Linked DNA regions of Mus musculus. The main gene of each other region encodes a partner of the protein of the gene in region 2 in a complex. Links are inferred from orthologs where the notes say so. Each region holds a gene or a part of one and is shown on either strand. Other genes may lie near its edges.

Region 1 (3,641 bases), on a different chromosome or scaffold from region 2:
CCATCTGTTATGGGATCCAATGCCCTCCTCTGATGTGCCTGAAGACCTGAAGACAGCAACAATGTACTCATAATCATAGAATAAATAAATAATTTTTTTTAAAAAAAGACTCCATACACAGTATACACACTTGAAAAACTATGTACTGCTTCAGCTAGAACCATCACCCAGAAAACCCCCCATGCCTCATTTCTTTCTTTTTCTTTTTTCCAGACAGACTTTCTCTGTGTAGCCCTGGCTGTCCTGGAACTCACTCATAGACCAGGCTGGTCTTGAACTCAGAAATTCACCTGCCCTTGACTCCCAAGTGCTGGGATTAAAGGTGTGCGCCACCACTGCCTGGCTCCAACCCCCATTTCAGATCCATACTGCTGCTCTTTCTTCTCCAGGATGAAGGAGGGAGTGTTCATTTCCTCCCTTCCAACCTCTCTCATCCAAGACTTCCCCAAGATACCAGGTCACCCTCCACAGCCCCCAAGAAGGCCTCTCCTTACTCTGCCCATGCATGAGTCTGGCCAGGAGAAGGGCCGCAGAGGCCAGGCGGGCTGGGGCATAGATGGACAGGCTGGTGTGCAGCAGGGTGAGCTCACAGAGGAAGCTGCACAGGTGCTGGGTTCTGGGTGCGACGGGGACCAGTGTCAGCAGGACCTCTTTATAGTCAACCACGGTAGGGATCTAGACAAGAGGGAGGAAAATGCCACGTCTCATCCATCAGTGTTACACTGAGGCACAGCCCAGCAGGGTTTTGGCCTAGGTGCTCATGCTGGGGCCCAACCAAGCTCAGGGTTTCAGGGCAGCTAATGACACACCGCAGCCATGGCTTCCTGGTGCTTTCTCCACAGCAGTAGCGCTCAATGGCCTCAGCTTCCCGCAACAGCCACCCCGCCCCCCGCCCGCCCCCCCCCCCCCCCCCGTGACCTCAAACAGAAGAAACTTTTGCTCAAAGGAGAAAGTCAAGCCCTACTTACCCGAATCTTCCCTTCCAGGGCGGAAATGATCTCCCCCATCACGCGCACCAAGTCCTCGTATTTATACGTGTTGTCTGTGAGCCACACAGCCTCTCTAATCGTCAGAATCTCTTTGCTGATGAACCTGGAACGTAGAGATGGGCTCTCAGGCCTGAGCTGAGGGGCCATAGCTCAGAAAGCCTCAAGGCAAAAGCATGATGGGATGGCTCCAGACTCAGGTGGCAAAAGGAAGCTATGGAGCGAATCCACTTGCTTCTGACTATCAAAGAGCATCCAGGGGCTACAAAGAGGGGGTCAGAACAGGATCCTCAGACCCAGCAGGAGAGGCATGGCTACAGAGCACAGACAAGAATGTACAAGTGTCGGGTCCCGAAGAAGCCTGGGACAAGTCTCACTGAATACCTATAGCTCCTCCCAGCACTCCTGCCCCAACCCTACCCTGAACCTTTTACAGTCCAGGGGCTGGCCTTCCCTTCCAGCAGCTCTGACCCCTACATAACCCAGCCATGTTGGTATCTGTTCTCTTGGCCCGGCACCCCTCCGTCCAGCTCCCCTCTTCCTCTCTGCGTCTCCTTTTCCTTCTTCTCTCATGGCACAGTCTACTCTAGCTGTTCTCTCCTTTATAACCACCGAGGAGCTGTCATGTCCTGATTTTCATCCAAAAAACAAAAAAGACCCGACCCATGAGCGACACTAATTTAGCTCTTTATGACTTTATAGATGAGGGCTTTTTTTTTTTAAGGTTTGTTTGGCTGTGCTGTGGTTCAAAGCCAGGTGCAGACTCGCCAAGCTTCTAAACAACCGCTTCAGCTCCTGTCCTATCCCCTTGACTGCATCTGAGTACAAAGAATGCAAACATAAAGATAGGTGAGCTGCTGGAGCACGGTGGAGGGCTACACACAGCCCTCCCGGTGTAGGAGGGCTACACACAGCCCTCCCGGTGTAGGAGGGCTACACACAGCCCTCCCGGTGTAGGAGGGCTACACACAGCCCTCCCGGTGTAGGAGGGCTACACACAGCCCTCCCGGTGTAGGAGGGCTACACACAGCCCTCCCGGTGTAGGTGGGCTACACACAGCCCTCCCAGCGTTTGGCCACAGGAATCCTGACTGTTTCTGAGGCAGGGGCAGCCTGTTCTCTGCTGTCCACAGTACTAACAATCAGAAACACTCTGTTCCAGTGGTCCCACAAGCACCCTCCCCAGCGAATGTGGACTGCTGCTCAGCCTTGGCAGAAGGGTCAGCGGAGGCAGCAGCCTCACCAGCTTGCTGACTGCTGAGAAGACCTGGGATGTGAGATTCGGGTCACAGAGCCTATCTGAAGAAGACCCGGGATGCGGTAAGGTCAGATGTTCCCCCCTGAAATCCACAGTCTTCCTCCTGTGGTCACATGACCATGCTTCCTCTAGCTGGGACATGGATACTGGAAGGTGCTATAGTGTCTACTGTGGCTGGATATATATGCCCACATGGCTAACCTGGTAAGGAAGGTGGGCTTGGGAGCTTTGGCGGTGACAGGAAAAAGAACCACTCATGGAGCTCAGAGGGGAGCAAATGTGAGCGGGTCTCCTTCATGACCTTCATCCCAGTGGGCCGGATGTTCTGCCCACAGGTTCCTATATGAGTCAGGTTGATCCAAGAGTCACATGGGAAGAAATCTTACTAGATTGCTATGGGAGGGCTCAGCTCACTGTGGGTGGTGCGGTCCCTGGGCTGATGGCTCTGGGCACTATAAGAAAGAAGGCCCAGCAAGACACGAGCAAGCCACTATGTGGCACCCCTCCATGGACTCTGATCTGAGTTCTTACCTCCAGGCTCCCTCCCTGCTCAAGCTCCTGCCCTGACTTTCCTCACCAAGCTGCTTTTGATCATGGGGCTTTTTCACAGAGATAGGAACCCTAGTACACAAGCGAGCCTAGGAAGGAGTTAGCAGGGATGTGAAATGTGTGTCCTAGGAAACAGCAGACCAAGCTGGGGCCATCAAGTTTAGAAGAGTAAGAAAATGCAAACTACATTTTGAAAAGCGCCTTCCACATCGCTTCCAGAGGCAAATCTAAGCACAGCTTGAGAAAAAAAAAATGTAAACTGAACCTATTTGAAAAGCTAGAGCTGCCAGGGAACAGGCTGCTGTGTGACATGTGACATCCTGTGGCAGGCTCTGATGGTTGGGGGCTTTGGTGGTAGACTGGAGGATTCCATCTCAGTGACAGTTTATCTCTGATGACTGAGGAGGAAGGCACAAGCCAACAGCTACAACCAACTCTTCTTAGCAACTGGCATCCTTTGGATCATGGGAAAGTGTGGTCTAGCTTAGGCCTTCCCAAGTCCAGGCTCTGGGTCCCAAGACTGTGTGGGGGATACAGACCCCCCAAAGAGGTATAATCGACATACAAAGGGTCAACTCTGCCATCCCTTCCTCGCAAAGGATACTGGGATTGAAATTATTAACACAGTTGAGCCAGGTAAGGCACTTAAGAGTTATTTCCCTTAAAAATCAGCAGCTAGGACTCAGAGGACGGTGGCCTCTGCATCTGGGGGGACCAGCACATGAGCACCTCAGCCCTGCCCGTTGGTCAAGGCTCCTCACCGGGTACAGATGACCATGCAGGCAATACCCAGGAGCTGCAGCTTGTATCTGGGGACCAGCCTCCTTCGCAGGTACCGGTCTACACACT
Region 2 (4,360 bases):
CAATTCTGGGTTCAATCCCCAACAGCATTAAGCACTCACAGCGACCAGCCAGGGATTCGTGTAATAAAACAACAGTGTCACACCTAAAACAAGGGCCCTGCAGAAGAGCTGGCTTTCTACTCTAAGCCTGGCTCTTACAGACTTAATGTATGGTACCACATACTTTCTACAGTAAACAAGAACTATAATGGGGAACCTCAGTTTCTTGCTGTTACTGTTTTGAAAGAGGGTCTTTGTAATTCGGGCTGGCTTTGAACTCAAGAAGTCAATTAACCAAAATAGGCTGTTGATATTTTATTTATTTTTGTTTGTTTGTTTTGTTTTGTTTTTCAAGACAGGGTTTCTCTGTAGCCCTGGCTGTCCTGGAACTCACTTTGTAGACCAGGCTGGTCTCGAACTCAGAAATCTGCCTCTGCCTCCCAAGTGCTGGGATTAAAGGCGTGTGCCACCACGCCCGGCTTAATTTATTTTTAACTAGTTTACTTTTTAAAATTATTTTCTTTTTAAAATGAAATTTGTGTCTGTATGAATGTATGTGAACATGGGTACCCAAAGACAGGAGAAGACTATCAAATCCCTGGAGACTGAAGTTAGCCATGTGACCTCAGTGTTGGGGCTGTGATCCAAACTCAAGTTGTCATAACAGAGAAGCAATTGCTTTCAATGGCTGAACCATCTATCCAGCCCAACTTACTTTAAGGTTAGGTTTCACTATGTAGCCCTGGCTGGCCTTGAACCTGTGTCAGTTCTCCTGTCTGTGCTATTCCCCTCCCCCCCCCCCCCCAGGATCTACACATACATGACAAGGTAGAGAGGTAGGTCAAGGAGGAATGTCTGAACTGCAAAGAGGTGTACAGAGGTGCACAGGAAGGACCCAGCAAGTATTCACTGGGTGCAAGCCAAGCCTGTAGCTTATTTCAAGGACTGCCCCCCCAAAATTCCAGAGCAAAGTTGGTAGAGGCCAAAATCCAGATTTGCATTCCTGGCCTTTGGCTCCGGGATGGTGTCAACCTCTCCCACAGAAAATGTTTGCTGGTCCTTAAGTACTATGGGGGCAGGGGTTCCCTAACTACCTCTGCACCTAGGGCACAAAGGGACTCACTAACTCAACTAGAGCGAATGGAATGTTTGGTTACATGTAGAATACCTGCCCAGGGCCCAAGCTCCTCCCTACAGGTACAGGCCCCTGGAGTTAATGCAAGGCAAGCCGGCTGACCCACCAAATACTGGCCGTCCTCGCTGGGAGGAAAGGCCTTTAACAGCCAGGAAATCCCGCTCAGTCACTGAATGCTTAAGAAGTTCTATCAGTTGTGGGCCTCAGCCTCATCTATGAAAGGATGACAAAGTGTACGGCTGCCCACAAGGTTAAGTGAGTAAAGTGCTTAGCACAGAGCCTGGCACACAAAACATCCTCAAAACAATGGTGGTTGCTATTGTTATTATTATTAGCATCTTGGTGATTCCGGAAGGAAGGCAGCACTGGGCGCTGTGCCAAGGGGAGTAAGGGGCCTACTCTAAGATGCCTCAGGGACCAGCTGCCACCCACACCCCCATCAGGAGTTGAACAGCTTCTTCTCTGATACTGGGCCTTGCCCTCGCCCCTCCTGTCCACTCCACCCCTACAATGAAGATAGTGGCCCACTCACGGAGCTGGCCCCTGCTTAGATCCAAGTTCCACTCTCCTCGTACCCAGCTGCCTTTTCTAGGCCCCCTGCCTAAAGTGGTCTTGAGCTACTTGCTTAGAATCAGGAAGAGACTTTTATCCAGGGATCTCCCTCCCACGTCTTCTCTCTCCAGGAACTGGAGGCCCCTTCTCAGGGGCCCAGCCCACCCAGTCTTCCAGAGGCTCAGAGGTCTGTCCGCCTGATTAATAAAGTTCCATGGCAACCAGGAGCTGGAAGGGTGGCAGATGGAAGAACAGGCAAAGGAAGGGTTGCAGCAGCTGGCCCAGCACCCCGCCCCTGCAGAGAAGGCCTCCCAATCAAGAGGCCTATCCCCAGAGGCCTGGAAGGCCAGGCCTGCACCTGGCAGAGCTACTAAGGAGGATCTCCCGAAGATGTCTCTAACAGTCACCCTCTCTCACCTCCAACAAGCAACTGTGCGCACTCCCTAGCCATAGGTTCTGCAGCAAGCCAGCAGACATCAGTTCAAATATCAGCCCCACCATCTGCAGCTGCGTGAAGCACTTCCCCATCTCTGGGCCTCAGTTCCTCCCTCTGGCAGATGGGCACGTGACAACACCCAGCTCACACCAGAATTGGGAATTTGGTGCCAAAGCCTGAGCGTGCACTAAGCAAGCACCAGCTGGATACACGTGAGACACAATCATTAATGGTTCCGACGCTCCGGTGAAGACGCCGAGGCCCGGAGCGAGGCTCAGCAAACAGACAGGCAAGGCAGTCAGTCAATGCGCGCCCCGGGGCGGAGCCCCGAGGCCCAGCCCAGGCTCCGCGCCGCCCAGCGCAGCAGCCCGTCCCCTCCCCCGCCCGCGCCTAGGGTCCGTACCGGCGGGCGGCCGAGAGCCGGGCGCGGTGCACTAGGCGCGGGTCGGGGCGCCTGCGGCGTGGCGAAGAGCAGCACGTCAGAATCGCGAGGGCCAGTGGGCGGCGCGGCGGGGAGCTGCGGGGCGCCGACATCGGGCGCGGTGGAGATGATGACGATCTGCGAGGAGTCGAGCAGCCGCAACGCGCCCGCCCCGAGCAGGGCCTCCAGCGCTGGCGCGTGCTGGCCGCCCGCGGGGGCTACGGCCATGGCGCTCACGGCCCGCGTGGCCCGGGAGGCAGGCGGCGGCGGCGGCGCGGGCCCATGACTGGCAGGCCGCGGCGAGGGCTCGATCCCGCTCCGCCCCGGCCGCCGCTGCCTGCAAAGTCCGGGCCACTTTTACGCGCCAAATCCTTTTTGCCGCGAAAGAGCCACGCGCCGCCGAACGCCTCCTCCATTGGCCGGGGCGGCTGTGACGACGGAGGCTCCGATGGCGAGCATTGGTTGCGGCGTGCGGGGCAGGAGACGGAGGGTGGGACCAGGGGCGGGGTGGCCAATCCCGGGGCGGGGCGCGCGCAGGCTTTGTCCGGGCGGTGCCGGGCGCCTTCTCCCCTCTGCCTCTCGCCGTGCCCTGCAGGAGGCGTGGGCAATGGGCCCCGCCCCTTCACCGCCCACTCGATGGGTGGCGGGTCTGGCGAAGCGAACAAACTTCGTACTCGGTTCTGCACGTCCCGCAGTCTCCACATGACCCCCTAAACTCTCAACCTGTGGTCTCCACCCCCTCAGTTTACAGCCCAGAGACTGCCTCTTCAGGCTCACCTCCAAAGCTCGCTTCAGCCACATCTCCGGTCTTAAGATCCATTTATTCCATTAGTTCACATCATGCTTTCTTCCCTATCCTGTCACCCAGAAGCCAAGCCCAAGAGGGGAGCCAGGAAATGAGTAAGGGATGTGTGGCTTTGATCTCAGTGTCTTTTTACTGAAATTTCTTTCGTAGCCAGAGCCCAGTTAGCGTTCATTCATTTGGTCACTCCACAATGGCGCCTGCCTTTAATCCCAGCACTTGGGAGGCAGAGGCAGGCGGATCTTCCCAGTTCAGGTCATCCAGAACTACACAGTGAGACCCTGATCTCAAAAAAAAAAAAACGCCTGAGAGCGTTCACTGTCCCATCCTCAGTCCAGACCTTGACTCATGACTTAGTGAAAAGGAAAAAAAGGAAACACAGAAGCAGCAGATGTTTGCAATGTGAAGAGATTGGTCCATTAAAGTATCTCCTCTCATAGGGAGGTGCAGGGGCGAGGAGGGTGCGTATGGTGGTGCCTTTAATCCAGAGGTCCTCCATCAGCATTTCTGATTGCTGGGGTCAGCCCGTCTGATCAGCATTGTGGTCCTCTCTACTAGGCATCTTGCCAATACTGGGAATAGAAACATGAAAGGTTTAACAAGACCCACAAACTTCCTGTCCTTGGGGGTGGGGGAGATGACCACAAGAAGAGAGTAAGTAGCTGACAATATTCAAGTCCCCAGGTCCAGTGTAAGCTACAGGGAGCTCTCAAGCCGGGTTACTTTCTCCATGCTTCATGCTACTTAATCTTGGCCCCAACTCTGACCACATTACTCTGAGCTGGCTTAGCAGGGGCTGCTTCTCAGGCCCTTTCTGGGTATGAGAGAATTGGAGGCTGAGGGCAGAGGTGAGCAAGGACGCAATAAGGGGGCTGTGATGTTCCAGGGCCCAGAAACACCAAGGCACGGGTTAACTTTGAACCACCCCGGTTTGGCCAATTTAGAATCAATCCCCAGCCAGGCCGCCCTCTCCCCTTCTTGTTTTTTTTTTGGTTTGTTTTGATTGGGAGGGGTGGGTTTTTAGTTTGTGTTTAG

What was found.
Region 1: the proteins of E2f1 (region 2) and Ccnf are in contact, whole or in part, in a cryo-EM structure (PDB 9CB3), measured with the Homo sapiens proteins. The link is inferred for Mus musculus from reciprocal best matches to the Homo sapiens genes E2F1 and CCNF. Residues at the interface, in NP_005216.1 of Homo sapiens: Gly84, Arg85, Pro87, Val88, Lys89, Arg90, Arg91, Leu92, Asp93, Leu94, Glu95, Thr96; in NP_001752.2 of Homo sapiens: Met309, Ile312, Leu313, Asp315, Trp316, Glu319, Val320, Met323, Arg349, Leu352, Gln353, Trp379, Leu380, Thr381, Asp382, Thr384, Asp504, Tyr505, Val508, Leu510, Thr511.

Annotation. Positions count from the first base shown.
Region 1 is NC_000083.6:24,230,817-24,234,457, forward strand, and holds part of Ccnf (cyclin-F), read right to left. Parts: coding exon 3,554-3,641; intron 1,093-3,553; coding exon 969-1,092; intron 676-968; coding exon 495-675; intron 1-494. UniProt on the Homo sapiens protein: Substrate recognition component of a SCF (SKP1-CUL1-F-box protein) E3 ubiquitin-protein ligase complex which mediates the ubiquitination and subsequent proteasomal degradation of target proteins.
Region 2 is NC_000068.7:154,566,984-154,571,343, forward strand, and holds the start of E2f1 (transcription factor E2F1), read right to left. Parts: upstream 2,910-4,360; 5' UTR 2,752-2,909; coding exon 2,506-2,751; intron 2,444-2,505; exon of another isoform or gene 2,195-2,443; coding exon of another isoform or gene 2,084-2,194; intron 1-2,083. UniProt on the Homo sapiens protein: Transcription activator that binds DNA cooperatively with DP proteins through the E2 recognition site, 5'-TTTC[CG]CGC-3' found in the promoter region of a number of genes whose products are involved in cell cycle regulation or in DNA replication.